4 linked regions of the Anolis sagrei genome follow. The protein of the gene in region 3 purifies or fractionates together with the protein of the main gene of each other region. This does not show direct contact. Links are inferred from orthologs where the notes say so. Each region holds a gene or a part of one and is shown on either strand. Other genes may lie near its edges.

Evidence for each region.
Region 1: the proteins of POLR3F (region 3) and POLR3B fractionate together in Homo sapiens (co-fractionation; 4 studies listed by BioGRID and IntAct, with this or other methods). This does not show direct contact. The link is inferred for Anolis sagrei from reciprocal best matches to the Homo sapiens genes POLR3F and POLR3B.
Region 2: the proteins of POLR3F (region 3) and POLR3H purify together in Homo sapiens (affinity purification with mass spectrometry; 4 studies listed by BioGRID and IntAct, with this or other methods). This does not show direct contact. The link is inferred for Anolis sagrei from reciprocal best matches to the Homo sapiens genes POLR3F and POLR3H.
Region 4: the proteins of POLR3F (region 3) and POLR3GL purify together in Homo sapiens (co-immunoprecipitation; 5 studies listed by BioGRID and IntAct, counting the BioPlex papers as one, with this or other methods). This does not show direct contact. The link is inferred for Anolis sagrei from reciprocal best matches to the Homo sapiens genes POLR3F and POLR3GL.

The regions. Positions count from the first base shown.
Region 1 is NC_090025.1:169,715,331-169,723,020, forward strand, and holds the start of POLR3B (DNA-directed RNA polymerase III subunit RPC2), read right to left. Parts: upstream 3,116-7,690; 5' UTR 3,035-3,115; coding exon 2,963-3,034; intron 1-2,962. UniProt on the Homo sapiens protein: Catalytic core component of RNA polymerase III (Pol III), a DNA-dependent RNA polymerase which synthesizes small non-coding RNAs using the four ribonucleoside triphosphates as substrates.
Region 2 is NC_090025.1:157,995,060-158,003,000, reverse strand, and holds the start of POLR3H (DNA-directed RNA polymerase III subunit RPC8), read right to left. Parts: upstream 3,232-7,941; 5' UTR 3,114-3,231; coding exon 3,037-3,113; intron 1,996-3,036; coding exon 1,812-1,995; intron 1,040-1,811; coding exon 943-1,039; intron 424-942; coding exon 337-423; intron 210-336; coding exon 146-209; intron 1-145. Other genes in the region: nuclear pore complex protein Nup205, read left to right, coding at 5,144-5,171, 7,608-7,750.
Region 3 is NC_090024.1:133,273,034-133,280,540, reverse strand, and holds the start of POLR3F (DNA-directed RNA polymerase III subunit RPC6), read right to left. Parts: upstream 3,276-7,507; 5' UTR 3,196-3,275; coding exon 3,152-3,195; intron 2,021-3,151; coding exon 1,903-2,020; intron 1-1,902. Other genes in the region: DZANK1 (double zinc ribbon and ankyrin repeat-containing protein 1), read left to right, coding at 6,319-6,427. UniProt on the Homo sapiens protein: DNA-dependent RNA polymerase catalyzes the transcription of DNA into RNA using the four ribonucleoside triphosphates as substrates.
Region 4 is NC_090032.1:21,351,405-21,359,040, forward strand, and holds the start of POLR3GL (DNA-directed RNA polymerase III subunit RPC7-like), read right to left. Parts: upstream 3,233-7,636; 5' UTR 3,219-3,232; coding exon 3,027-3,218; intron 1-3,026. UniProt on the Homo sapiens protein: DNA-dependent RNA polymerase catalyzes the transcription of DNA into RNA using the four ribonucleoside triphosphates as substrates. Specific peripheric component of RNA polymerase III which synthesizes small RNAs, such as 5S rRNA and tRNAs.

The sequences.
Region 1 (7,690 bases), on a different chromosome or scaffold from region 3:
AAAAATATAATATAAAATTACTGTTGGAACCAATGTTTCTATATGCAAATGTGTTTTAATTTATTGTATTTTATATTGTGTTCACTTTTATGTTTGTTTTTAAGTACTTTGTGTCATCTGTAAGCCGCCCCAAGCCCCTTTGGGGAGATGGCATGGGATATAAGAATAAAGTTATTATTATTAGAATTATTTGGAATATAAGAATAAACTTAATCAGCAACTATTTTAACCCAAACAAAAAGCCTGAATTATAATGATGGGTTGAAATTGCTAATAATATTTATGTGAGGAAGCGTTAATGCCACCGCTTGTCTCCAAAATTATGTGAAGAAGTCTTTATCCCACCAAATGGGATTACCAAAAATATAAGGAAGTCCCTAGACTGCTATTAAATTAAACTGCCACCAATAAAATGTAAAGACGCTGGTCTTAAAGTCTCTATTTACTCCTATTTGCGTTGTGAGGTAACTTTGGTAGAGTGGAATACACCGAACATAAAATCAATGGAGGAGGCAGGTTTAAAATAACAAAGAGAACAAGTTTATTATTAACAAAGCGTAATTGTTGTAATATTGAGATGTTGAACTTGGCACATGCTTGTTGGTTACAATATGGCTTGGCTGTGATACATTCAGGCTTTAGATGTTACAATTCTTATAAACTCCTTCTACAGTGAAGTGCTTTATTATTTCAGTGTTCCTAATTGTGAACATTCACACTGTTTGTCCTATACCGGATCAAACCACTGAATCCCCAGTCTTCCACTACTGGCGATCCTAAAACCCCCTCTGTTAGATTCTTTTTACTCAAGCAATCTAACGAGGTTTCCCTTCAGCTACCTTGCTGAAGAAATATTCACAATCACTAAAACTAACTGAATGTACTGGCTCCATAAGCAGAACTGAGTTTTCCCCAAAGCCATGCAGTGGTTCTCAACCTGGGGTCCCCAGATGTTTTTGACCTACAACTCCCAGAAATCCTAACAGCTGGTAAACTAGCTGGGATTTCTGGGAGTTGTAGGCCAAAAACATCTGGGGACCCCAGGTTGAGAACCACAATTAGTGGCACATATAATTCTGGAATGTGCACTGTGGCATCAGAGCTCTCAGGCAGAGAAAGCGAAAAACCTCACAAATCCCAGAAATCTACAGCATTCATATCAGTTAAAAATACTATCAAAGTGCTATAATTGTGCAGTGTGGCTATATTCTTAGAACCATTTATCTGAGGAACAAGTCACACTTAACTTATGACTTCATCACGTTAGAGAAAAAATCCACTTAAAATTCTGCCTCCTGCAGAATTCTGGAGTTTGTAGTGAGGCTGTTAAAGGCCCCTCCCTAAACTACAAACCCCAGAATTCTACAGGAAACGGATTTTAAGTAGATTTTTTTTCTCTAGTGTGATTAGGCCCTCAGTGGGATTTACTCCTGAGTATATACATATTGAGTTGCACTGTGTAGTTGATTTATTGGGAAATAAAAATACCTCTATTGCAGGCCTGGGCAAACTTGGGCCCTCCTGGTGTTTTGGACTTCAACTCCAACAATTCCTAACAGCCTCGGCCCTTTCCTTTCCACCTACCTGCGTGACCGCATTTCCGTATACGAACCCACACGATCCCTTCGTTCATCTGGTGAGGCCCTGCTCACGATCCCACCAGCATCACAAGCGCGATTGGTGGGGACGAGGGACAGGGCCTTCTCGGTGGTGACCCCACGAATCTGGAATTCCCTCCCCAAGGACATCAGTCACTCCCCAACACTGGTAGTCTTCAGAAAGAGCTTGAAAACATGGATGTTCCAGTGTGCTTTCCCAGATTAAGGAATCCCAAGCAATTGTCCCTAATGCACTTTATGAGAGAGTTAGAATTGTCTGCACACCCTTCTATTCCCAAAATATCCATTCTACCTCACCTGGACAGGCCCGAATTTTTAGAATTTTAACTATTACATTTGGCCCTGCCACAGGTTTTTAACAGTGCTGTGCTTTTGTTATTGTTTTATTGCTTGCTTATTTATTGTTGCATTGCATTGTTGTCTGTTGTGTTTTTGTTAATGATGTACTTTGGGCTCGGCCTCTTGTAAGCCGCACCGAGTCCTGCGGGAGATAGTAGCGGGGTACAAATAAAGGTTTATTATTATTATTTCCCCCTTCAGCCACTTAATGAAGGGCCCTGAGGCTGGAAGTTGAAGTCCAAAACACCTGGAGGGCTCAAGTTTTCCCATGCCTGCTCTATTGGCTTCCTCGAAAAAGGACAAGGGGCCATGTGGTGCATCTATACTGTAGAACTAAGGGAGGAGGGAGCAAGCTTGTTTTCTGCTTCCCTGGAGACTAGGACGCGGAACAATGGCTTCAAACTACAAGAGAGGAGATTCCATCTGAACATGAGGAAGAACTTCCTGACAGTGAGAGCCGTTCAGCAGTGGAACTCTCTGCCCCGGAGTGTAGTGGAGGCTCCTTCTTTGGAAGCTTTTAAACAGAGGCTGGATGGCCATCTGTCAGGGGTGATTTGAATGCAATATTCCTGCTTCTTGGCAGGGGGTTGGACTGGATGGCCCATGAGGTCTCTTCCAACTCTTTGATTCTATGATTCTATAATGCAGTTTGACACTACTTTAACTGTTATGTCTCCATGCTATGGAAACACAAACGTTTTCTTGTACACGGTATTTCTTCTGACAAAGAGGGCTGGTGCCTCACCAAACTACAAATCCAATGATCAGTTAAAGTGGTGTCAAGCTGCGTTATTTCTCAAGCATGGCTGCATCCAGGAAAGGAGCACCAGAGGTTGTTGTGGCTCTACTACTGCGCATGCGCACTCTAGGGCTGAGTGAGCAGCCAGGCATGCCTTGACGCTTAGCGCATGCGCACCGTGGACTTCGGAAGCCACATTTACCCCTATCCCTTGGGCAGAGCCGCTTCTTTCTTTCCTTCGGATGCTCTCGCCATTCTCACTCACCTCCACCGTGTTTACAGGAGCCGCCAGCTGCTCCGGAGTGGAGGCTCCCAGCTCTGCCACCAGATCGTCCATGCTGGAGAGAGAAAAACAACCGGCAACAGCCAGAAAGTTGGCGCATGCGTAGTCCCCGCCTTCCACAGAGCTATGCGTGTGCGTCGCTGAAACCTGACCGGAAGTGCAACTGAGGACGTCCAAAAAGGTTCCGCCACGTTTCCTAGAAGCCTTTATTTATTTATTTATTTATTTATTTATTTACTTTGCTTATATACCGCTGTATCTCAAGTCCGAAGGCGACTCACAGCGGTTCACAAACAGTAAAAACAGTAGAAACAGCAGTGGTTCCATACAACATATAACAATTGACTTAACACATTATCCATAAATTACCAATAAGCAATTACAATGCACAATTATTACAAAAAACAACCGTACCCAATCTTCTCATCATCCAAGCGTAGTCCAGGTTCGTCGTCCATTGTTCCATTCCTATGTTCCATTACCAGATTGCACTAAATTACTCAAACGCCTGCACAAACATCCAGGTCTTCAACTTTCTTCGGAATGCCATGAGAGATGGCGCCAGCCTAATGCCTGTAGGAAGGACGTTCCACAGCCGAGGAGCCACCACCGAGAAGGCCCTATCTCTCGTCCCTGCCAACCGTGCTTGAGAAGCCGGCGGGATCGAGAGCAGGGCCTCCCCGGAAGATCTCAAAGTCCTGGTGGGTTCATAGGCCGAGATGCGGTCGGAAAGGTATCTTGGGCCAGAACCGTTTAGGGCTTTATAGGCCAATGCCAACACCTTGAATTGAGCCCGGTAGCAAATCGGCAGCCAATGGAGCTGGCGCAACAGGGGGGTTGTGTGCTCCCTGCGCTCCACTCCGGTTAGAATCATGGCTGCCGCACGTTGGACTAACTGAAGCTTCCAAAACTCTTATTTACAGCTAACTATATTGTTAAAAGAATTTCCTATCCGAATGGTTTCCTTCTGCTCTACCTGAGGGCTTCTTTCTTGACAGTATTTTGAAGAAAGCAGAAATTCCAGACAAGAAACAGTCAGGGCCTCCCAACAAAGGATTCACCCCAGGCAGGAAGCAACCAGGTTTTGAAGCTGCAAGGCCATTCAGTGCTAATCAAGGTGACTAATTTTATTTATTTATTTATTTATTTATTTGGGGTGCTTCTACCCCGCCCTTCTCAACCCCCTAGGGGGGGACTCAGGGCGGCTTACAAAAGGCACAATTCGATGCCCAACAACTCACAAAATACAATATACAAAATTACAATATAACGTCAACAATTATAACTAATTAAAACAATAAAAAACAATACAGTTGCAGCAATAAAATCATCTTGCGGTCAATGTTCGCCAATTCATAAATTCATGATCCGTCTAGCATCGTCATTGTCCTTTCCTACTTTGGTCGTCATTGTATTTTGTCCAACTGCCAGCTTACCCAAAGGCCTGGTCCCACATCCAGGTTTTTAACTTCCTTCTGAAGGAGAAGAGGAATGTTGATGACCTAATCTCCCCAGGGAGTGCATTCCACAGGCGAGGGGCCACCACCGAGAAGGCCCTGTCCCTCATCCCCACCAGTCTCACTTGTGATAAAGGTGGGGCCGAGAGCAGGGCCTCCCCAGAAGATCTTAACCTCCGAGGTGGGACGTAGAAGGAGATATGTTCGGACAGGTACGCTGGGCCGGAGCCATAAAGGGTTTTGTAGGTCAAAACCAGCACTTTGAATTGTGCTCGGAACTGGATTGGCAGCCAGTGGAGCTGAAACAGCAGGGGGGTGGTATGCTCCCTGTATGACGCTCCGGTGAGTAATTGCAACATTCCCACTTGCCTCAAGCAGACGAGAGTTCTTTCTCCCACCCTGGACATGTCACAGACATAAATCCTACTTGCCTAGTTTCCAACAGACCTCACAACCTGTGAGGATGCCTGCCATAGATGTGGTGAAGCGTCAGGAGAGAATACTTCTGGAACATGGTCATACAGCCCAGAAAACTTACAGTAACCCAAAGCAGAAATTATTGCAACAGAGGATAGAAATGTTCTTGGAATTATTTGGATTGGGGAATATCAGTGCAGTTATGTGTAGTTCAAAGTATTGTAATAATTTTTAATTATTTTAAGGGATTTTAATTTTCTGCTTCAATTCTATTTTAATATTTGTATGTTGTAGTTTTTGTTTGTTGTAGTTTATGTAAAGCCGCTTTGAGTCTTCTCAATATAATAACAATAATAAAGTATTTAAAACTCGTGTCTTGTGTTTAATCTCTGTTCTGTGCATTTTAATATGTATTTTATAGAAATATATTTTATTATGTGCATATACAGAATGTTTACAATGTTTTTGTGTTTTAACTATGCTGTAACCTGCCTCTAGGAGCCCCTGGTGGCACAGTGAGCTGCTGAACTTGCTGATGAAAAGGTCACAGATTCAAATCCGGGAAGCGGCATGAGCTCCTGCTATTAGCCCTAACGGCGCTCCATACAGTCATGCTGGCCACATGACATTGGAGGTGTCTATGGACAACACCAGCTCGAGCACCAATCCCCAGAGTCGGACATGAGCTCCTGCTGTTAGCCTCAATAGTGCTCAATGCAGTCATGCCGGCCACATGACCTTGGAGGTATCTACGGACAACATCGGCTCTTCGGCTTAGAAATGGAGATGAGCACCAATCCCCAGTTGGACACAACTAGACTTAATGTCAGGGGAACACCTTTACCTTTAACCTGCCTCTAGCCTCAAGGAGAGGCGGGTAAGAAATAACATTATTATTAATATTGTTATTAATGTTGTCTCAGATAAAAATGGGAAATTATAATAATACAGTAACACCACTTACCAACAATTTGCAGAATTACTTATTGGAATAATAGCCTGTATATTTTCCCCAGTTTTGAGGGAAATCTGACTCTCAGATTTCATTTGTGACTGTGCATTTTTTTGGATTTTTAGTTAGTTATGATTGCAGGCAACTGCTTTTTGCTTTTTTCCTAATTAACTGAGAGTGGGATGAAAAATTAATTTGACAGGTGAATCACTTCCCATTGCTGAATTTCTGTGCCAAAAAAGCTGGACCTGTTTGGAGGAAATATAACCAGCTCCCCACATTTGTTGGGGCTTGCAAGTGAAGTGGAAACTACAGCAGCGTACCATGCGCAGTGAGTCTAGAGCTTATTTAAGAGCAATTAAGGTGGCAGAAAAATCATTTATTGCCACCAACATTACATCCACAAAGACTTGCCCAATAGAACTGTTTCGAATGGTAAGGGGGCTTCTAAACTCTTTCCGGACCAATCGGCAGTTTGTTGTTAAGAGTTTGCTAGGTTCTTTGCAGATAAAGTCACTCTGATCCGCTCTGACTTACACACCAGTATTAATGCAGTCTCCGTGAATATGAATGAGGCATCTGCTTGTCCTTGTTTAATGGATTCTTTTCAGCTTGTTTGGCCCGAGGACATGGACAAGATCTTAGGAGAAATGAGGACAACCACTTCTTTTTTGGACCCTTGCTCCAGCATGAATGGAGGAAATTCATTAAAGTCACACTGGAGCACCTAAATCTTCCTACAAATAACACTTTTAATCACATTTCTGAATAATCAAATATGAAGAAGCCAGAACTGCAAATGTAGAGAGCATGCAGTAGTTTTAAGTGGTGGTTCAAACAGAAAAGGTACCATAATTTGGGGTCTTCTAGAGCACTGCTTCTTAAACATATAGGGTCCCCTTTGCTCAATATTGGGGTCACAAAAATTTGGCAACAATACCACCCATTTACATGAATCTGTTAGCAACAACCTACAGTGTTTACAGTGGACTCTGCAAAAAATGCTTCAGCTGTTCTCCAGCCTGTTTCACAAGCCTTTGGGACAGTGCAATAGGGCAATAATAGGAAACCCACTCCACTAACTGGAGCCATCATGGTGTTCTGAGATGGTTTTTAAGCAACTGATTTTAAAGTAGATATAACTGTTTGTAGTGTTTGTGTATATTTATAGTTATTTTATGTTCCAGCATGGAATGCTTGCCGTGTATACGTTGTGAACTTCCCTGAGTCCCCTTTGGGGTGAGAAGGGTGAAATATAAAGATTTCAAATAAATAAATAAATACTTTAAAAGTCAAACGGAATTTAATTAATACAGATATCAACACAAAAATAAGCCAGTTACATAACAATACCTTGCTTTCATTGAGCCCTGGTAGGGCTAGGGCGAAGGGAATGGAGTTAAACATATTTGGATAATTTCACCACGCAACATGCAAGAGGGACAAATTAATTGTACTGATTAATCTGAACATTGAAAAGATTATGAACATTAGAGGACATGTACAGATTGCTAAATGGACATACCATGCTATATAAAATGCCCTTTTCAAGTCATAGATAAAATCACAAAATTATTGCTTCCTCATAATATTCTTCCTGAAAGTTTTCCAAAACATACTGAATTCAGACTAAGTTGTTTGAAATTTATCACTGTTGAAATCAGTAGGACCCAACTATGACAACTTTGCTTGAATTCAACCAAAGCTAAGAAAAGTTACTTCTTTGGACCAAAATGCCAATAATTCCTTTGCCACCATGCCCAAAACACCTGTGAGATTCTGTGAGTAGTACTCTTTTTTTTAAAAAAAAAAGTTAAGGTGTCTATCCATCTCATAGCTTCTCAGGTAATAAGAAACTGTTGGAAAGTATTTTTTTACTGCACT
Region 2 (7,941 bases), on a different chromosome or scaffold from region 3:
CCCTCGACTTATACTCGAGTCAATACGTTTTCCCAGTTTTTGTGCTAAAAATGGGTGCCTTGGCTTATATTCAGCCCGGCTTATACGGGTAATTTAAATAATAAATATAATGGATTTTTAAAACATTTATTATCATGGAGGATACAATTTGGCAGGCTGCTGCAGAGATTCTGGAGGAATGATGATATCATCAAAGAACCCAAGGGAAACTGCAAGAAGAACATTCAGATTAACACAGAAGCCATTAGGGTATAACATGATGTTAATTCTCTCTTCAGGCCCCCCACAGATATATCTGAATACAGGTCTAGAATTTTAATAAAAATTAAAATTTACCATGAACTCCTTCTAGACTGCAGCCTTTTATCTCTCCAACCAAAATCTCATCAAGAAAGGGATGAAACACCACATACCGAAAATGCACTATAAAGAAGGAAGCAGATTTTCCTTAGATAAATGTTTCACTTGTATGTTGTCAAAACATACATGTGCACAAAATTAGCATAGCAACATTGTATAGCACGAGAAAAAGCATGGTATAAATGCAGCTAATAAATAATTACAGCTGTACTTGCAAGGCAAATGAGCATAAGCCAGTTTGTTAACAGATTGAACATCAAGATAGAATATGGAACAAGTGTATAAGTGTGAGAATGCTAGCATTAAATGAGAAAATGTATACAGCATGGCAGAAATGGTACCTTAACCTGTCCTAAGCAAAAATGGTACCAAGGATGAAGGAGAATGAACATAATTTTTTCAGTTTCGTATGCCACAAAAATGTGCTTTCCAGCTGTATTATGTATCAGCACAACAGAGTTATAATAAAAAAATATGGAGTGCTGTGGTTACCCAGAAATTATTATGTTGCCTAGAGGGTAGTCTTGAAGATCCATAGTTGTCAGATCCAAAAATAATTGACATGGAAAACAACAGGCAAACCTTTTGTGTGTGATGCACCATCTCCTGGGAATATGTAGGAGTCCTCCAGCTTTGTAATGTCATAGAGACAAATACAGAGGCCAACATTATACACAACCTGTTTAGAGAAATAAATCCAAAAATCAATGAAGTTGAATACTTTGGAAGAGATGTGTTAGCCCCCTTGAAACAGAACAAGGAATACTGTACCAACAAACCAAACTGGTGAACGGATCTATAACTGGATAGATAAAAATAATTCAAATATGCAAGTAACGCTACAAGAACAAGAAAGAATGATAACAGAGGGGGTGGTTAAGGGGGAAATGAAGGTTCATACTTCTGAGTAGCCAGTCTCCTTATCAATTTCTCATTATTTTCAACATCTCTTCACTCTTCTATTTCATGTCATGTGGGAGCTCATTTACATATTAAATGTAACTAGTGAAAAGATACTAAATTTATATTGATCAAAATCAGCGACTTTACAGTGTATAATTTTAGCATTGCAGCTACATTCATTAAATATATGAGACAGCACCATGACTGTCCACACGACATTTGTCCACAATCCTTCATTCGCTTAACTGGGAATAATCTGCCTTTGACATATGTAAGATGGAGCAGTAAATAATAATAATAATAATAATAATAATAATAATCTTTATTTGTTCACTGCCTTTCTCACCCCTTTGGGGAACTCATGGTGGCCTACAGCTCTGGCAAAATTCAATGCCATATAGACACAGTCATAAAAACGTATTCCAACAAATAAACAATTAAAACAGATTAAGCAAATAAATACACATATTATTTGTATACACCCAAAGTTTACTGTCTTTAGAATCTGTGTGACAGTATAGTAGTGAGACAAACCATGCAAAGTTTACCTTATTGGCCAGTTTCTTATTTAACTCTTCAGTGATGGCATCATTAAGCTTCCTTTCAAACTGCCATGGAGGGATTCGCACAGTATCTGTCATCTCCACTAACACAAACATGATAACTTGCAAAAACAATGCTCCTGGGGAGAAGGGAAAATCAGCAAGAGGACTCTCCTTTCTGTAGTGATAGCTGTTGGAGAAGAAAGTGGCAAGTTCTAATTGTGGTCTAAGGGAAGAAAACGCCAACACTTGAGCAAAATATAAGATCAGCTTATCCTTCGATTTTATACTGGTGGAAGGAGGCTTAAATCATTGGTAGGAATTGTGTGACTCCTCAAAATGTTGTCAGGCTGCAACTACAATTGTGAGGAACACTGAATGTTGTACTAGGTATTATTTATTTATCGTATCAGGGGCAAACCAAACAGTTGCATTGCATTTTTTAACAAAACACGAAGTTTGCAAGCTTGGTAGTTGATTAAATGTCCTTTGACCAGTATCTGGCCACTTGGAGTGCCCCTGGTGTTGCTGCATTGTGCATGTGGCAGGGCTCAGGCTGAATTGTAATAGGTTTGTCTGTGGTTTGCTCTTCTCCACACTCGCATGTTGTGGATTCCACTTTGTAGTCCCATTTCTTTAGGTTGGCTCTGCATTGGAGAAGAAGCCTCTCCTAGTTTTGGCTTCTTCTCTTACTGGTTACATTAGAAGGGAATTTGCAACTGGAAGTAGTTTGAGGCCCAGAACCACAGAAAGGACATACAGAAGGGATCTTCTACCACAGTGGTTCTCAACCTGTGGGTCTCCAGGTGTTTTGGCCTAAAACTCCCACAAATCTTAACCAGTTTACTAGCTGTTAGGCTTTCTGGGAGTTGAAGACCAAAACATCTGGGGACCCACAGGTTAAGAACCACTGTTCTACCACATGCATGGGCCAACTTGGGCCCTCCAGCTGTTTTGGACTTCAACTCCCACAATTCCTAACAGCCTCAGGCCCCTTCCTTTTCCCTCTCAGCCGCTTAAGTGTGTTATACCTGTTCTACCATCAGTTACAACTTGCAAAGGCCTGCTTTGAGGTAGTTTATTGAAGCCAGCAGTGGCTTTCTATCCACACAAGCAGTCAGCATCCCCAACAGAACAGAAGACCCTCCAAAGATGGAAGCATATCTTTCCTAGAGCACCTCTCCGTTGTTTTCGATTATATCCCTGGAAATCAGAAATGCATCTAACTCACCCACAACCGCTTCGCCACGCGACCCTCTCCTTCTCCAGCAGGCGATAAACATCCGTTCGGGTTACCGCACCACGCATGCGCGGCAAACAGCAAGGCTACGAAGAGGAAGTAGAACACTGGAAAACGCTGTGCATGGTGGGAGCTGTAGTTTGGAGCGCTGGGAACAAGTCACCCTCCTGTGTTCACAGATCCTTTACCCAAGCCTTCATGGCCTGACCATATTTTTTTAAATCCGAAAAGTACACATTTATTTTATACCAGCCGTCCCCTGCCAGGCGTTGCTGTGGCCCAGCATGGTGATCTGGACAATAAAGTAATGAGAAAGTGTTGATTTCTAATATATGTAATTTCTTTATGCTTGTTAGTAAACAGTATTTCTTGCTGTTTCTTTGTCAGTGTTGATGTGGAGATTGTCTGATTTGCCTACTCTGGAACATGCAACATATAATTGTCCTTCTTTAGGGGTCCCTTTCAAATCTATACTATGCGCGTGAATCATATGACTGGGTGGCTCTTTGTCAAAAGGACTTTGTTTACGTTTTCTTGCCCTGGTGAAGAGAGTTGGACTGGATGGCCTTAAGTATTTTCTGTTGGCAGTGGGAGTTCTGTGTGCCAAGTTTGGTTCAATTCCCTCATTGGTGGAGTTCAGAATGCTCTTTGATTGTAGGTGAACTATAAATCCCAGTAACTAAAACTCCCAAATGTCAAGGTCTATTTTGCACAAACTCCATCTGTGTTCATATTTGGGCATATTGAGTATTCCTGCGAAATTTGGTCCAGATCCATCATTTTTTGAGTCCACAGTGCTCTCTGGATGTAAGTGAACTGCAACTCCCAAACTCAAAGTCAATGTCCACCAAACTCTTCAAGTGTTTTCTGTTGGTCATGGGAGGTCTGTGTGCCACGTTTGGTTCAGTTCCATCGTTGGTGGAGTTCAGAATGCTCTTTGATTGTATGTGAACTATAAATCCTAGCAACTACAATTCCCAAATGACTAAATCAAAATTTTTGAGTGATGGTCACTCCTTGGGTTAGTAGGTGTCTTGTGGCCAAGTTTGGTGTCAATATGTCCAGTGGTTTTTGAGTTATGTTAATCCCACAAACGAACATTACAAGTGGTTCTCAACCTGGGGTCCCCAGATGTTTTTGGCCTACAACTCCCAGAAATCCCAGCCAGTTTACCAGCTGTTAGGATTTCTGGGAGTTGTAGGCCAAAATAATCTGGGGACCCCAGGTTGAGAACCACTTAGGATGTTTTATATAAAGGATGTCAATTTTCTACGCCACTGTATATAAGAGGACTTGAATATCCGCAGAATACTCAGAAAAGTTAAACCAGCTAACACTTTCAAACAAAGTATTCCTGCAGGCAGCAACCAACCGGGCTTTGAAGCTGCAAGGCCATTCAATGCTAATGAAGGTCGCCAATTGCAACATTCACACTTGCCTCAAGCAGACAAGAGTTCTGGACATTCCACAGAATATAAACCCCACTTGTCCAGTTTCCAACAGAACTCACAACCTCTGAGGATGCCTGTCATAGATGTGGGCAAAACGTCAAAAAAGAATGCTTCTGGAACATGGCCATGCAGCCCGGAAAACTCACAACAACACAGTGATTCCGGCCATGAAAGCTTTGGACATGACATCAATCCATTCTGTTCAACAAGGCCTTGTTGTTGTGTACCCTGAAGCAGTTTCCAACCTGTGGCAACCCTATCACGGGTTTCCTTGCCAAGATAGATTCAAGAAGCTTCCTCTTCCGCAAAAAAAGGGTTTCTATTTCGACTTTCCCGCCCTTTTTTCTCCCGCTGGGCCTAGAACTACAAACCCCAAAGTTCTTTCCATGTTTCGATCTTAGGCGTCTAAATCGTGCCTGCGTTCCGGTCGTGCAATTTGAGCGCTTTTGTCGTAATGGACTAAAGCACTACCCTCCTACATGTGGCTAAAATAATGGAAAACGCTGATAATATGCATTTGCCATTTATTAGCCGAGTTGTCTATGAAGAGAGGATTTTTTCCTGATCCGGCAGATCGCGGGCACCTCTACCTGCTCTAGGCCCCTGAGAAGCGAGGGCGCCTTGAAGCCCCTTCGCGAGTTTCCAAGATGTCGGCGCCGCTGGCGGTAATTTCAGGTGAGAAGAGCCCCGAGTTTGGCCTGAGGCTCATTCGGGGACGGGGCGGCATCGTTTTGGGGTTGCCTTGCCCTGTCTTTGGGCCCTGCGCCACTCTTTGCCGTGGAAGGGAACGTGGAGGACTGCCTGAGACCCACAGCAGCCAAGTTCTATGGGGCTTGCTCCTAAGTACATGAGTATAACCCAGTGCAGTTACATAACAGTGTAGATCAGGCAGGGGCAAACTTTTGGAAACTCCCACAATCCTTAACAGCCTTAGGCAGTGGTTCTCAACCTGTGGGTCACCAGATGTTTTGGCCTTCAACTCCCAGAAATCCTAACAGCTGGTAAACTGGCTGGGATTCCTGGGTTGTAGGCCAAAACAACTGGGGACCCACAGGCTGAGAATCAGTGGCTTAGGGGGGAATGGAAAGGTCCTGAGGCTGTTAGGGATTGTGGGAGTTGAAGTCCAAAACACCTGGAAGGAGGGGTCAAGTTTGCCCACGCCTGGTATAACCACTCTGGGTCTCCTCGATTCAGAGAGAAGCACGGAGGAATAGTGGTATTAATAAAATAGAATTGTAAGATAATAGAATGATAGTTTTCTAAGGACAGGCAATACATTCCTAAGCTTACTTCTTTAGCAGCAACTTTGATACCAGAGGCAGGGAAGAGTAGGAATAGGTTTCTGTATACAATTTGTTAAGGGGAAGTGATAAGTATAAGAATGTTTAAACACTGAATATGTAAAACTACAATAAATATTTTTTTTTAAAAAAAGGAATAGGTTCTGGCAGCCACTTAAAGAAAAAACAAAATGCTGCATGAATGTGTTTTCATAGAATCATAAGAGTTGGACTAGACCGCATTGGCCATCCAGGCAAACCCCATTCTGTCATGCACAAACAAAGCATCCCAACCACCACAATCAGGTGGACAATTTCAACAGAAAGGAGGAAACTATGAAAATGAGCAATGTCAGGCGAACACTATTAAAAAACTAAAAGCAGGGAAGCAAATAAAGAACAACACTCAAAAACAGGGAAATTCCAGACAAGAAATAATCAGGGCCAACTAATCACCTCCTAAGAAAGGATTTCCTCATTCAGGAAGTAGCCAAGCTTTAAAGCTGCAAGGCTATTCATTGCTAATCAAGGCAATCAGTTGTAACATTCCCATTTGCCTCAAGCAGACAAGAGTTCTTTCTCCCACTCTGAACATTCTACAGATATATAAACCGCACTTGCCTAGTTTCCAACAGACCTCACAATCTCTGAGGGTGCCTGCCATAGATGTGGGTTAAACATCAGGAAAGAATGCGTCTGGAACATGGCCATATAGCCTGGAAAACTTACAGCAACCCATCCAGCCTCTGTTTAAAAGTCTCCAAGGAAGAAGCTTCCATCGCACTCTGAGGCCGAGAGTTCCATTGTTGAACAGCTCTAATAATAATAATCACAATAATAATGCTTTGTTTATATCCCTCCCCCTCGTTCCAAAGGGATTTGGGGCAGCTTACAACACAGAATACAAGATAACAGTCACACAAGCAGAAAATTAAACAAACAAATCACAATAAATAAAATCTAACAAACATAATTACTTACAACTTATAGCTATCAATCATATAACTATAAGACTTTAAACTTATGGTCAGGAGGTTCTTCCTAATGTTCAGGTGAAATCTTCCTGAGATGTAAATATGCGCCTTAGTATTCTCCCATTTGGTGGAAAACCAACAAATATTTTGTGGCATGCATTTTTTGTAGTTTACAACTTATTTATACTGGTGGGCTTGCTTTGAATGTGTGTGTGTGTGCTTTGAATGTGAGCTCCCCCCCAGCACCAACTGCTGCTCTGAGATCAGAGTGAAGAGAGGGGCCAGGAAGGCATTTCCATCTTGTCTCCTGCACTGTGCTTATAATATAATATAATATAATATAATATAATATAATATAATATATTGTATATACATATAATATTGATACTATTATAATGTAATACAATATAGTACTACGAATAATATTACAGTATAATGTTATAGTACAATATAGTAATATATAATATTAATATTGTGCTATGGTAATAATATAATATATTGTATTTACATATTGTAAGCTGCTCTGAGTCCCCTTCAAGGTGAGAAGGGCAGCATATAAATATTGTAAATAAATGCAGTTTTTCTACTTCTTGGGAGGGAGTTGGATTGGATGGCCCACAAAGACTCTTTCAACTCTATGATTCTATGTTATCAAATAAATGATTACCCACATAGGGACTTTTCTTTTGCTTTCCTGTCTCTGTTCACTAAGCTGATTGCTGCTTTTGTAAAAAATTAATTAATTTATCTTAAATATTTTTCTGTAAAATATTTTTGCACATGAATAATGTTTAATCATAATATTCACTTGTGGTAAATATCTTGCTTTTTTCTTGCTTTGTCTATTTTGCTTTTAGCTGCCAGTTTATGGGGACCCTACAAAGACATTTGGCAAGCAGTTGTTAATGCCATTTGGAAAAGGCAACCTGAAGCAATACATATTCTTGACCAGATTTTAAAGAAGCATAAACCTGATTTTATATCACTCTTCAGAAATCCGGTAAAAAGCAAACTTTTCTTCTCCCGGTAATGGGATAAAATAGTGTTGCTGGCATTGTGTGATTTTTATAACTATATTTATTATGTTTATATGTATTAAAATAATGAAGGATAGGTTTTTCTAACTGAATTTTTAATAACGTAGTGAAACTGTTTCTTCTTTATTCTAACTTGAATATTTCAGATTGTATT
Region 3 (7,507 bases):
CTTCAAGAGGAGCCCCTGGTGGAGAAAAGAGTTCATGACAGAAACGGAGTCATGAGAAGGAAATTTGCATATGGTCTCTGATTGGCCAGCCTCAATTCCAACATTCCGAGATGAGAAAGAGAGGAAAGGAAAGGCCGGTGGCTGGGTCAGAACACTCCCAATACAGACCGAAATAGGCACACAGAGCCCCCATCACCCACTCTACATCCTACTGCAGTTTGGAGGACTATGAACCATGGATGATGGGACTTGCAGTACCACCACTCACATTCTGAGACCGCTGTTAACCTTATCCAATGACTGATCAGGACCAAATTTCACAAAGAGACCTCTCATGACCCACTTTACGTCCTGGTGTGGTTTGGCCGAGATGGACCGTGGATTATGGGACTTGCAGTACCACTGCTCAATTCTTCAGACCACTGCAACCCTCATCCAATTACCGATAAATACCAAACTTGGCACACTGAGTCTCCATGACGCACTCTACATCCAGGTGCAGTTTGAGGGAGGATGCACCATGGATGATGGAACTTGCATTACCTGCACTCCCTTCCTAAGACCATTACAACTGCCAACGATGATGGATCAGCACCACAATTTACACAGAGAGCCTGCATAACTCACTCTACATCCTGGTGCGGTTTGGAAGAATTTGACAATGGATGATGGGACTTGCAGTCACTTCACTCACTTCCTGAGACCACTGAGACCCTCGCCAATGACTCATCAAGACTAAACTTGGCACATGGAGCTTCAATGACCCACTCTACATCCTGGAGCAGTTTGGAGGATGACAGACCATGGATGATGGGACTTCAAGTACCTCCACTATCCAAGACTACTGCAAAACTCATCTAATGACCAATCAAGACCAAAGTTGGCACACAGAGCCCCCATGACCCACTCTACATCCTGCTGCAGTTTTGGAGAAGGGTGGACCATGGATGATGGAACTTCCAGTATCTTCACTCACATTCTGAGACCTCTGCAAACCTCATCCAATGACGGATCAACACCAAACTTGGCACATGGACCTTTCATGACCCACTTTACGTCCTGGTGTTATTTGGAAAACTTTGGAGATGGATGATGGGACTTGCAGTACTGTTGCTCACCTCCTGAGACCACTGAGACCCTCGCCAATGACTAATCAAGACTAAACTTGCCACATGGAGCTCCAATGACCCACTCTACATCCTGGTGCAGTTTGGAGGAGGACAGACCATGGATGATGGGACTTCAAGTACCTCCACTCCCTTCCAAAGATTGCTGCAACCCCCTTCTAATGACCAATCAAGACCACACTTGGCACACAGAGCCCCCATGATCCACTCTACATCCTGCTGCAATTTGAAAGGGGATGGACTTTGGATGATGGGACTTGCAATACCTTCACTCACTTACTGACACCACTGCCACCCTCATCTAATGACTGATAAAGTCCAAACTTGGCACACAAAGCCCCCATGACCCACTCTATATCCTGCTGCTGTTTGTAGGAGGATGGCCCATGGATGATGGGACTTCAAGTACCTTCACTCACTTCCTGAAAATAATGCTGCCATTATCCAAAGACCAATAAAGACCAAACTTGGCATACAGAACCGCCATTACCCACTTTCTCTAATAACCCGGGCAACGCCGGGTCCCCAAGCTAGTATAATATAAAAACAATCCTAAACAAAAACCAAAGATTTAGGTGTGCTAGAATTAATGGTAATGTGGCATGCTCCTTTTGATAAAGAGACAGATAAAGAGACAGAAGATAGAACCAACAGCTGTTCTATCAGTTTGCAGACCCAGAAGAACTGCTACTTTAAAAGGAAGTATAATAAACCACTATATTTTATCCAGCATTTTTGAAGACATACTTTCATGCAAACTTAATAGGCTTTTTACCATAGAGAGCAGTCTGTTAATGGCCATGGCTCGTTGCTGAGCTTCCATGTGAGGCATATCATTCTGAATCACCTGGTCTGTGATGCCATGAGGAAACTGATGGCAAAGCTCAATGATCCTAGACAAAGTAGGAATAGCAAAAAAATAAAAATAAAAAGGGATCACCACACACAAAACTCAAAAACGCATTAGCCAATGTATTTTATTTAAAACACAGAAACCCCACCTTTTATTAAAAGTGGTGATAAACAGTAAGCACACACAAATACAACAAAAACTAATATAAAGAACAATGATCAAGAAAAGAGTCCCGTTGCTCTTACCCCTGTCATACATTGACTGTCTCTATTGGTTAATTCTGTACAAAAGAAAGCAGTTCTTGCCTTAGGAGTTCACACCTCCAGTATCCCTCACCGTAAAGGCTCTACCAGACAGGCCCTATTTCCCAGGATCTGATCCCAGGTTTTCTGCTATAACTGGATTATATGAGTCAACACTGTATCAGATAATTTGGGATAAACAGAAAACCTGGGATCCGATCCTGAGATATAGGGCCTGCTTGAAAAGGACCTACTTTTCTTATCACCCCAAGTTTTAGCATACTGCCCAAGACTACATAATAGTACTTATTTTGAACATTGGTGTTAATTGTGGAAAAGCTAAGACTGTAACATATATAACTGCAGCAATATTTGCTGAGGAAGTGGTCAAGGTTACTTGAAGTACCGCATCTCTTTCTATGAACCTGATTAAACAGCTACAATCCTCTGGATTATATGACTGTCTGGAAAGGCCCATAGTATTATATGTGCTGCATAAATGTATACAGCAGTAGTTCTCAACCTGTGGGTACCCAGGTTTTTTGACCTACAACTCCAAGAAATCCCAGCCACATCCCAGTTTACCAGCTGTTAGGATTTCTGGGAGTTGAAGGCCAAAGCATCTGGGAACCCACAGGTTGAGAACCACTGGCATACAGGCACCTTAACATTTCCACACAAACACTCTTACAGTAGTCACTATACACTTATTATCACCACTACATTCCAATTCTTTAGCCTTGTTTCCCTTTATTCTAGGACCCTTCCATGCAGTCATATAACCCAGAATATCAAGGCAGAAAATCCCACAATATCTGCTTTGAACTGGATTATCTGAGTCCACACTGTCATATATTCCAGTTCAACGCAGGTAATGTGGGATTTTAGTCAGCTACATGGAAGGGCCCTCAACACTTTGTCCTGCCCACCTGTTTTCGATTTCCAAGGGCTCTGGGGCTTTCAACTCCGCCATCACTCAAAGCTCTCCTTCCTCCGACCATGCAGACTGTGGGCGATTCGGCGTCAGGCAAGCGGCGCGCTCAGATGACGTCAACAGGCTGCGCCCAGAGAAAGCTGCGGTTGCCACGGAGACCAAGCCAGTCGCAGACTCTGCTTTGCCTCCCAGCCAGGCGGTGAGTTCTGAGAATCAGAGACTGACGTGGAAAGTGGAGGGGAAAAGGGAGGGGCGTGGATTTTGCAGGATAAAGGGATTTTTCTTAATGGAACTGTATGCTGAGCCTTCTTCCCAAGAAGGGGGTGATGCCCTTGTTGTCCTCACAGCAAAGCAATGAGAGGCAGGTTAGACCAAGGCCTGCTGCTCAGGGGCAGAGTCAAAGTGGGTTAGAACTCGTCAATGGTAATACAGGCAGTCTCTAAGGCCCCTTCCACACAACTCGAAAATCCCACATTATCTGCTTTGAACTGCAATATAAGGCAGTGTGGACTCCGATAACCCAGTTCAAAGCAGATGTTGTGGATTATCTGCCTTAATATTTGGGTTATATGGCTGTGTGGAAGGACCCTAAGTTATGAACAATTTTTATTTATTTATTTATTTGTGGCATTTCATCATCATCATCATTTAATAACTTATTAATCGCTCTCCATCCGAGAATGCTCTAGGCGATTTACAGCTAAATTATAAAAGATAAAATACATACATACAAAAATTAAAAATTAACATTTCTATGCCGCCTTTCTCATAGAAGGGAGGCGACTCAAGGCGGCTTACAATTGGCACAATTCAATGCCACGATGGTCATAAATATATATATATACACACACATACATATACATATACATATAATATTATATATTGTGTGTGGCTAACATGGCTCAGAAATAGCAGCTGAGAGAAGGAAACAAGGCAACAAACTACAGGCATTCTGTATGACTCAAAAATGCCTGAACAACTCAAAAGTTAAGGTCTACGCTACAGTTATTCGCCCAGGGCCCTTCCACACAACCCTATATTCCAGAATATCTACTTTGACTGGGTTATCTAAGCACACTCAGATAATGTGGGATTTTCTGCTTTATTATTCTGGGATAGAGGGCTGTGTGGAAGGGCCCACAGTCATATAACCCAGAATATCACAGCAGATCATCCCACCATATTTCCTTTGAACTAGGTTATCTGAGGACTCTTTCACACAGCCTTATAACCCAGAATATCAAAGTAGATCACCCACAATATCTGCTTTGAACTGGGTTATCTGAGGACCATTTCACACAGCCTTATAACACAGAATATCCAGGCAGATCATCCACAATATCTGCTTTGAACAGAGAGCTCTTCCTCACAGCCATATAACCCAGAATATCAAGACAGATCATACCACAATATCTGCTTTGAACTGGGTTATCTGAGGGCCATTTCACACAGCCTTATAACACAGAATATCCAGACAGATCATCCACAATATCTGCTTTGAACAGGGTTATATGAGGGCCCTTCCACACAGCCATATAACCTAGAATATCAAGGCAGATCATCTCACAATATCTGTTTCCAAACTGTGTTGGGACACATTCATGCATCACCTTCAGAATTTAGGTTTGTCATGTGAACAGAAGAGAAAACCTCTGGGTCAATATAAAATAAGCAATAAATCATATATTTCTTATATATAAATTACAAGTTTCATGAGGTACGTTGTATTTCCATACATTTTTGGTACTGTTCCATTATCCAGGTGGAAGCTATTAGAGGCTGCTAGAGAGAGAAGGATACTTCATTTTATGGGAAGGAGTTGAAGGACGAAAATAATTTCCCCTGTTTTTGGAGATTATTTCCCCTCTCTGCTTCCCATATCATAAAGGAGGGTTGGGCAGAATAACAGGAAAAGGGGAGGGATGACTTTACTCCTTCAACCCACTGTCCACCCCCCATATAATCAAGTATCCTCTCTCTCGTGGCCCCTAATGGTTTCTGCCCTGATAATGGAACAATGCCCATTTTTGTTATGACATGTATGTTTCTACGTCTCTTACAAGGAGTTGATTGCTAGTAAAACTGAATTACTATGTTATGAAATGATACCTGTCTAAAAAGATGTGTCACCAGCATTAAATCTTTGGAAAGCTCTTCTTTAAGGTGTTTCGGCTGCTTGCTTGGCTTCCCAAAGCTCCTTGGAGTTGAAAAAACTCATGCCATGCCATAGCTCCCAAAATAAAATGCACAAAGAAGCTGTATGACACCAGTAGCTTTGAAGAAGTGGAGGAGAACCCATGGATAAAAACCGTATAATTGTTAGGCCACAATTTAGGGGCAAGTGACTTGAAAATATAGGAGTTCAACTTTAGGTTTTCCTGAATAGTAATGATATGGGGCCCTTCCACACAGCCATATAACCCAGAATATCAAGGCAGAAAAATCCCACAATATCTGCTTTGAACTGGGTTATCTGAGTCCACACTGCCATATATTCCAGTTCAAAGCAGAAAATGTGAGATTTTATTCAGCTGTGTGAAAGGGGCCCTACATTCCTTTCAATCTGGTTTTAAGACAGCCTTTTGGAACTTAAACTCCTTCAGAAAACTTTTATTTAATTAGGTCAGTCCCAAAGGATACAAAGTTTTCCAGAATGTTTCTCTGGGCTAACATGGTTCAGAAATAGCAGCAGAGTGAGGCCCCTTCCACACAGCTGAATAAAATCCCACATTTTCTGCTTTGAATTGGGGTATCTGGCAGTGTGGACTCAGATATTCCAGCTCAAAGCAGATATTGTGGGTTATTCTGCCTCGATATTCTAGGTTATATGGCTGTGTGGAAGGGCCCAGAAAGAACCAACAGTTCAAAATTCTAGCTGTGTGTAATATACAGTGTGTGCTTGTAGAAAAACTAATGACATTATACTATGTTATTATTCTACTTTAACTACCCTGGGAACATTGTATGGGGTCTTGGAATTTGCAATTTGAGGAGGCAAATTTGAACTGCATTATATGGTCAGTATAGAAGGGCCCTTATTCCCAGAGGGGTAATGTAGATAAATCCTTCAGTTGGATTTATTGACTTAAATTTTCCTTGCTGTACTATGTTTATTTATGGGTTTTTTTTCTTTTGGTTTTTTAAAAACAATTGTAGGAAAAAATGACTGCTGGCTCCATCCTAGTGCCTCAAGTTATACCACTTCGTATCTCGACATCAGGAAATGCCAAACATGAAATAGATACAAATACACTTGTAGAGTTTAAATCAGGTACATGCATGCTATAAATCTCTTCACATATTTGATAAATATACAACTTAATATTCATTTTGTTAATTCTTGTTTTTATTTTGCTTGTCATTTTTGTCTTTAAAATATCTTTCAACCTAACAGGAAAATTATTGGAAGCAATAAACAATTTGTTTAAAAAACAGCTTTCTCATATGTCTTCTTCCATTTCCTTTACATATCTCTGCAATGGATTATAATTATGTTTTTCTTTCTCTGTTTAATTTTTTCTGCTGCCATGTACATTCTTATGTATTAGGCTTTAGCATTGTTGTATACGTTACACTTGCATTTAATTATGTGATGGGCTTATAGACAGTATACTTATTTTTTTAGCTTCAATCTGTCCTGTGAGGAATCCATGAGCAAATGACAATGCTGCATGAGATTGTCAATGACACCCAACTTCCTCATCCAGAGATCTTTCCATCAGTATCAAGGGAACTTATTTCTCTCTACTATTTAGGCTCTGGGTTCAATAGCTTTTTTTTCTTTTCACCCAAAGCTTCTAGTATATTTTTACCTTTACTATAAATCTTCTTTTCTTTTCCGCTTGTGAGGTCCAATATAATTAAAATGAATACACTTCGATAACTGTTGTTGTTGTTCTTTAAATTGCATGGGAACTTTCTAAACTACTATCAAATCACATTTCATTTACATTGTTTTTTTTAAAAAAAATCATAAATCACAACTTTCCACTATCACCATTGTGACAAAACATAAATCTCTTTAATTTTTCCAAGGGATCATCCAATCCATAAGCTACTACAAAACCATAGGTTCCTGCTCTCTCTCTCTCTCTCTCTGTGTGTGTGTATGTATGTATGTATGTATGTATGTATATATATATATATATATATATATATTCAAAGCTTGGCAGAGTTTATTTACAAATAACATGTTACTTGTAATCAATTTATTTTTTGTAAAAACTAAAACATACAATTTTCCATGGTTTGGAGTGCAAAACAGTTTACAACGTAATCTGAAAATAAGAGAATTGTGATAAAAATGCAACAAATTATTGACATATTAAATAAATAAAATGATTAAAACAAG
Region 4 (7,636 bases), on a different chromosome or scaffold from region 3:
TCCCTATTCCATCTAAAACGCAGATAGGTTCATTTCACCGTAAGAATAGACAAGCATCTCGAGCTCTGAGGATGGCCTGGAAAGGAATCCCACTGGAGCATTGCAGCACACCCAAATATCTAGGAGTCACCCTGGATCATGCTCTGACTTATTTTATTTATTTATTTACAGTACTTATATACCACCCTTCTCACCCCGAAAAGGACTCAGAGCGGCTTACAAAATATATATACATACAATATATTATATTATTAGCATAGTAAGGTAAAGGTAAAGGTAGTCCCCTGACATTAAGTCCAGTCATGTCTGACTCTAGGAGTTAGTGCTCATCTCCATTTCTAAGCCGAGGAGCCGGCGTTGTCCATAGACACCTCCAAGGTCATGTGGCCAGCATGACCACATGGAGCGCCGTTACCTTCCCGCCAGAGCAGTACCTATTGATCTACTCACATCTGCATGTTTTCGAACTGCTAGGTTGGCAGGAGCTAGGGCTGACAGGGGAAGCTCACGGCGCTCCCCGGAATCGAACCTGTGACCTTTCGGTCAACAAGCTCAGAAGCTCAGCAGTTTAACCCACTGTGCCACCGGGGGGCCTTATAAACATAATAATAATAATAATAATAATAATAACATGATGTCTGGATGTCATCGGGGTTTGTGAAAATATTATATACATAATAATAATAATAATAATAATGAAATTACATATTTAAATTAAATTCAGACTGCATTAATTTATATAATAATAATAATAATAATAATAGGTAATAGAATAAGTAATATAATAATATATTTACAATAATATAATAAATATATAGAATATATAATAATATGTAATATATAAGTAATAGAAGAAATAATATAATAATGTAATACTAATGTAATGATAAATATATCTAATATATAATAGAAATTGCAAACGCATTTCATTGAATGCATTTTTAATATTTGAGTAATATAGCAAAGTAATATTATTTACCCTTTAATTTAAACATTTAACTCCTTAATATTTAGGAAACATTGCAAAATAGAACTTCATTATTTAATTTAACATTTAATTCCATGCATTTAAAACTAATAATAATAATATTGCAAAAATAAGGTCGGTTTGATTTCCTTTGCAGCAAAAAGAAAACTCACGTTACCTAAATATTATGAATAATCAAATATTTTTTGCAATGTGTTGTCGAAGGCTTTCAAATCAAACCGATCTTATTTTTTGCAATATTTCCTAAATATTATGAATAATCAAATATTTTTTGCAATATTTCCTAAATATTATGAATAATTAAATATTTTTTGCAATGTTTCCTAAATATTATTAATAATTTAACTCCTTAATACTTAGGAAACATTGCAAAATAAAACTTCATTATTTAATTTAACATTTAATTACTCAAATATTTCAGAATGCATTAAAATCAATTGCAAATGCATTTAATTGAATGCATTTTTAATATTTGAATAATATAATTTTATAATATAATTTATATATAATATATATAATGTATTGTCGAAGGCTTTCATGGCTGGAATCACTAGGTTCTTGTGGGTTTTTTTCGGGCTATAGGGCCATGTTCTAGAGGCATTTCTCCTGACGTTTCGCCTGCATCTATGGCAAGCATCCTCAGAGGTAGTGAGGTCTGTTGGAAGTAGGAAAAATGGGTTTATATATATCTGTGGAATGGCTGGGGTGGGGCAAGGAGCTCTTCCCTGCTGCAGTTAGGTGTGAATGTTTAGCTGATCACCTTCATTAGCATTTGAAGGCCTGCCTGAGCCTGGGAAAATCTCTTGGTGGGAGGTGTTAATCTGTGCCTGGTTTTTTTCCTCTCTGTTGTTTAGCTGTTATAATTTTAGAGTTTTTTAATACTGGTAGCCAGATTTTGTTCATTTTCATGGTCTCTTCCTTTCTGTTGAAATTGTCCACATGCTTGTGGATTTCAATGGCTTCTCTGTGTAGTCTGACATGGTGGTTGTGAGAGTGGTCCAGCATTTCTGTGTTCTCCAATAATCTGCTGTGTCCAGGCTGGTTCATCAGGTGCTCTGCTATGGCTGACTTCTCTGGTTGAAGGAGTCTGCAGTGCCTTCCATGTTCCTTGATGCGTGTCTGGGCAATGCTGCGTTTGGGGGTCCCTCTGGAGACTTCTTGTCCACAGCTGCATGGGATACAATGGTAGACTCCTGCAGAGGTGAGAGGATCCCTCTTGTCCTTTGCTGAACGTAGCATTTGTTGGATTTTCTTGGTGGGTTTGTAGATTGTTTGTATGTTGTGTTTCCTCATCAGCTTCCCTCTGCGGTCAGTGGTTCCCTTGATGTCTGGCAGGAACACTTTTCCTCTGGGTGGATCTTGGTCTTGACTCTCGTGGCTTCTTCTCAGTGGTCTTGCAGCTCTTCTGATGTCTGAGGTGGCGTCTCCATTGGCCTGGAGAGCCCAGTTGAGGTGGTTCAGTCCATCTTGGAGGAGGTGGGCTTCGCAGATTCTTTTTGCACGGTCTGCCAAGGCTTTCATGGTGCTTCTTTTTTGACTTGGGTGATGGTTGGAGTTTTGATGTAGATATCTATCTGTGTGTGTGGGTTTTCTGTAGACGGTGTCACACCTAGCTCTAGCAAGGAAGAGCTCCTTGCCCCACCCCAGCCATTCCACAGATATATAAACCCATTGTCCTAATTCCAACAGACCTCACACCTCTGAGGATGCTTGCCATAGATGCAGGCGAAACGTCAGGAGAAATGCCTCTAGGACATGGCCCTATAGCCCGAAAAAAACCCACAAGAACCTAATATATATAATATTATTTAATATTATTTATCATTTATTATTTAATATTATTTATCATTTATTATTTAATATTATTTATCCTTTAATTTAAATATTTAACTCCTTAATATTTAGGAAAACATTGCAAAATAAGACTTCATTATTTAATTCAACATTTATTTCCCATGCATTTAACAATAATAATAATAATAATAATAATGCAAAAATAAGGTCGGTTTGCTTTCCTTTGCAGCAAAAGAAAACTCACGTGACCCGGAAGGAGCGGCTGAAGAGGCTTGCCCGGGGAACGTTCGAAATGGGCGGGGACTTCTTTCCAGGCGGCCAATGGGAGCGGAGATCCAGGGAAGGGGCGTGGCCGGGGCTTTCTCTTGTGAATGAAGAGTGGGCGGGGCTTCGGCCTGCCTTTGCCAGCAGTGGGAAGAGGCCTCTTTCCACGCATGCGCAGAATTGATTCCTGGGTTTCTCTTTGTAATAAGTCACTTTGTTTCCTATTTATATTTTTAAATGATATACTATAAATAAACAAATAATATCTGTTCAAATAAATAAAAATAATAGATAATAATCTATCCCTAATCATAATAATATATTAATAATAATATATTATTAATAATATATAATAATATATTATATTATTATATATTATATTATTAGAATACTTAATAATATATTATATTATTATATATTATATTATTAGAATACTTAATAATAGATCATAATAATTTATTATTATATATTAACAAATAATATCCAAATAAATAAAATAATAGATCATAATAATGTATCCCAAATCATAATAATATACTATTGATAATATATAATATTATTGATAATATATGATAATATATTATAATAATATATTATTATAATACATAATAATATATAATAATTATTATTACATATTATTATATATTATAATAATATATTATTATATATTAATAATACTAATATATTGCAATAATTACAATATATTTAAAACCAAAATAATTGAATATAAAATGTTAAAAATCTGCCCCAAATACTAATAATAATGAATATATTAATCATAGAATCCTAGAATCAAAGAGTTGGAAGAGACCTCCTGGGCCATCCAGTCCAACCCCATTCTGCCAAGAAGCAGGAATATTGCATTCAAATCACCCCTGACAGATGGCCATCCAGCCTCTGCTTAAAAGCTTCCAAAGAAGGAGCCTCCACCACACTCCGGGGCAGAGAGTTCCACTGCTGAACGGCTCTCACAGTCAGGAAGTTCTTCCTCATGTTCAGATGGAATCTCCTCTCTTGTAGTTTGAAGCCATTGTTCCATTGCGTCCTAGTCTCCAGGGAAGCAGAAAACAAGCTTGCTCCCTCCTCCCTGTGGCTTCCTCTCACATATTTATACATGGCTCTCATCATCTCTCCTCTCAGCCTTCTCTTCTTCAGGCTAAACATGCCCAGCTCCTTAAGCCGCTCCTCATAGGGCTTGTTCTCCAGACCCTTGATCATTTTAGTCGCTCTTCTCTGGACACATTCCAGCTTGTCAATATCTCTCTTGAATTGTGGTGCCCAGAATTGGACACAATATTCCAGATGTGGTCTAACCAAAGCAGAATAGAGGGGTAGCATTACTTCCTTAGATCTAGACACTATGCTCCTATTGATGCAGGCCAAAATCCCATTGGCTTTTTTTGCCGCCACATCACATTCCTGGCTCATGTTTAACTTGTTGTCCACGAGGACTCCAAGATCTTTTTCACACGTACTGCTCTCGAGCCAGGACTCATTGTCCCCCATTCTGTATCTTTGCATTTCGTTTTTTCTGCCAAAGTGGAGTATCTTGCATTTGTCGCTGTTGAACTTCATTTTGTTAGTTTTGGCCATTCATCTCTCTAATCTGTCAAGATCGTTTTGAATCCTGCTCCTGTCCTCTGGACTATTGGCTCTCCCTCCCAATTTCGTGTCGTCTACAAACTTGATGATCCTGCCTTCTAGCCCTTCATCTAAGTCATGAATGAAGATCCTGAGCAGGACCGGGCCCAGGACGGAACCCTGCGGCACTCCACTTGTCACTTCTTTCCAAGATGAAGAGGAAGCATTAGTGAGCACTCTCTGTGTTCGTCCACTTAACCAATTACTGATCCACCTCACCGTAGTTTTGCCTAGCTCACATTGGACTAGTTTCCTTGCCAGAAGGTAATACAGTAATAATAATAATAGAGTTCGCCTGTGACACCCGTTGGAATTGGTAGAAAATAATAATAATAATAATAATAATAATAATAATAATAATAATAATACATGGGGAGTGTGTCCCTGTTGGTTCTGCTGGACCTCTCAGCGGCCGTCAATCGTGGTATCCTTCTGGGACGCCTCAAGGAGATGGGTCTTGGAGGGACTGTTCTTCAGTGGCTCCGGTCCTTCCTCGAGGGTCGATCTCAGAAGGTGTTATTGGGGGACACCTGTTCAACCCCACAACCATTGTCTTGTGGGGTTCCTCAGGGTTCAATACTGTCTCCCATGTTGTTTAACATCTACATGAAGTTGGGGGAGATCATCTGGAGTTTCGGGGTGTGGTGTCATCTGTATGCGGATGATGTCCAATTCTGTCACTCCTTCCCACCTGCTACTAAGGAGGCTGTCCAGGTCCTGAACTGGTGCTTGGCCGCTGTGACGGTCTGGATAAGAGCGAACAAGTTGAAACTGGATCCAGACAAGACAGAGGTCCTCCTGGTCAGTTGCAAGGGCGAACAGGGCATTCCTAGAGAGGTCATAAGTGTATAGAGCAAATGGACGCAGCGTCATGGAAAGCTAGAGGTGTGGACTAGTACTGATAACAGCAGTTCGTGTGTTCGCAAAAGAGGTGTGGACTAGTACTGATAACAGCAGTTCGTGTGCTCACAATGTTACGATCGGATGGTGAGAAGCAAGTTTTACGATGTGCTGACTGTTAAGTAGCTTCTAATGTATACAGCTGTAAAAATAAAGTAGTTTATAGCCTAAGGTGGCCGTGATTGATCGTGTTCCTGCCTTCCTGTGCGCCCGATTTCACTGACAGACTTGGGGGGGGGGGGTGATCCTGGACTCATCGCTGAGCCTGGAACCCCAAGTTTCGGCAGTGCCTGGGAGAGCATTCGCACAATTAAAACTTGCAACCGTACCTTGGGTAGTCTGACTTGGCCACAGTAGTCCGCACTCTGGTTACATCCCGTTTAGACTACTGCAACACGCTCTACATGGGGCTGCCTTTGAAGACTGTTCGGAAGCTCCAAATGGGCCAACGGGCGTCAACCAGGTTACAACCAGGAGCAGCACTCAGGGAACACACAACCTCTCTGTTGCACAAGCTCCACTGGCTGCTGGTGTGTTACTGGGCACAATTCAAAGTGCTGGCTTTAGATACACACACATACACATCTGCCTTATTATTATTATTATTTGAAACACAACAAGATGAGTCGACAGCAGACACTCTGCTGGCTGTTGAATTGGATCCCACGTCGGACACTTCCCAATTATTATTATTATTATTGAACTGAGTATTGGGATATTATTATGGGATGTTTCCTCCCATTGCAAAGCCTGATTTATTCCCTTCATCTTGCAATACACACACACAAACACACACACACACATCTGCCTTATTATTATTATTATTATTATTATTATTATTATTATTATTCTGAGTATTGGGATATTATTATTATGGGATGTTTCCTCCCATTGCAAAGCCTGATTTATTCCCTTTATCTTGCAATATATATATACACACACACAAATACATACACACATACACATCTGCCTTATTATTATTATTATTATTATTATTATTATTATTATTATTATTGAACTGAGTATTGGGATATTATTATGGGATGTTTCCTCCCATTGCAAAACCTGATTTATTCCCTTCTTCTTGCAATATATATATATATATATATATATATATATACATACACACACACATACACACTTGCCTTATTATTATTATTATTATTATTATTATTATTGAACTGAATATTGGGATATTATTATGGGATGTTTCCTCCCATTGCAAAGCCTGATTTATTCCCTTCATCTTGCAATACACACACACAAACACACACACACACACACACACACACATCTGCCTTATTATTATTATTATTATTATTATTATTATTATTATTATTCTGAGTATTGGGATATTATTATTATGGGATGTTTCCTCCCATTGCAAAGCCTGATTTATTCCCTTTATCTTGCAATATATATATACACACACACAAATACATACACACATACACATCTGCCTTATTATTATTATTATTATTATTATTATTATTATTATTGAACTGAGTATTGGGATATTATTATGGGATGTTTCCTCCCATTGCAAAACCTGATTTATTCCCTTCTTCTTGCAATATATATATATATATATATATATATATATATATATATACATACACACACACATACACACTTGCCTTATTATTATTATTATTATTATTATTATTATTATTGAACTGAATATTGGGATATTATTATGGGATGTTTCCTCCCATTGCAAAGCCTGATTTATTCCCTTCTTCTTGCAATACACACACACACACACACACACACACACACATACACACCTGCCTTATTATTATTATTATTATTATTATTACTGAACTGAGTATTGGGATATTATTTTGGGATGTTTCCTCCCATTGCAAAGCCTGGTTTATTCCCTTCATCTTGCAATATATATAGACATACACACATACACACACACACACAAATCTTGCATCTTGGGAAGTGTATTAGTAGTAACATTAAATTGGATGTAAAAAAAATAATTTAATAAAATAATAAAATATTATTATTTAATAGTTCGTATCATTTAAAAAAAAACCT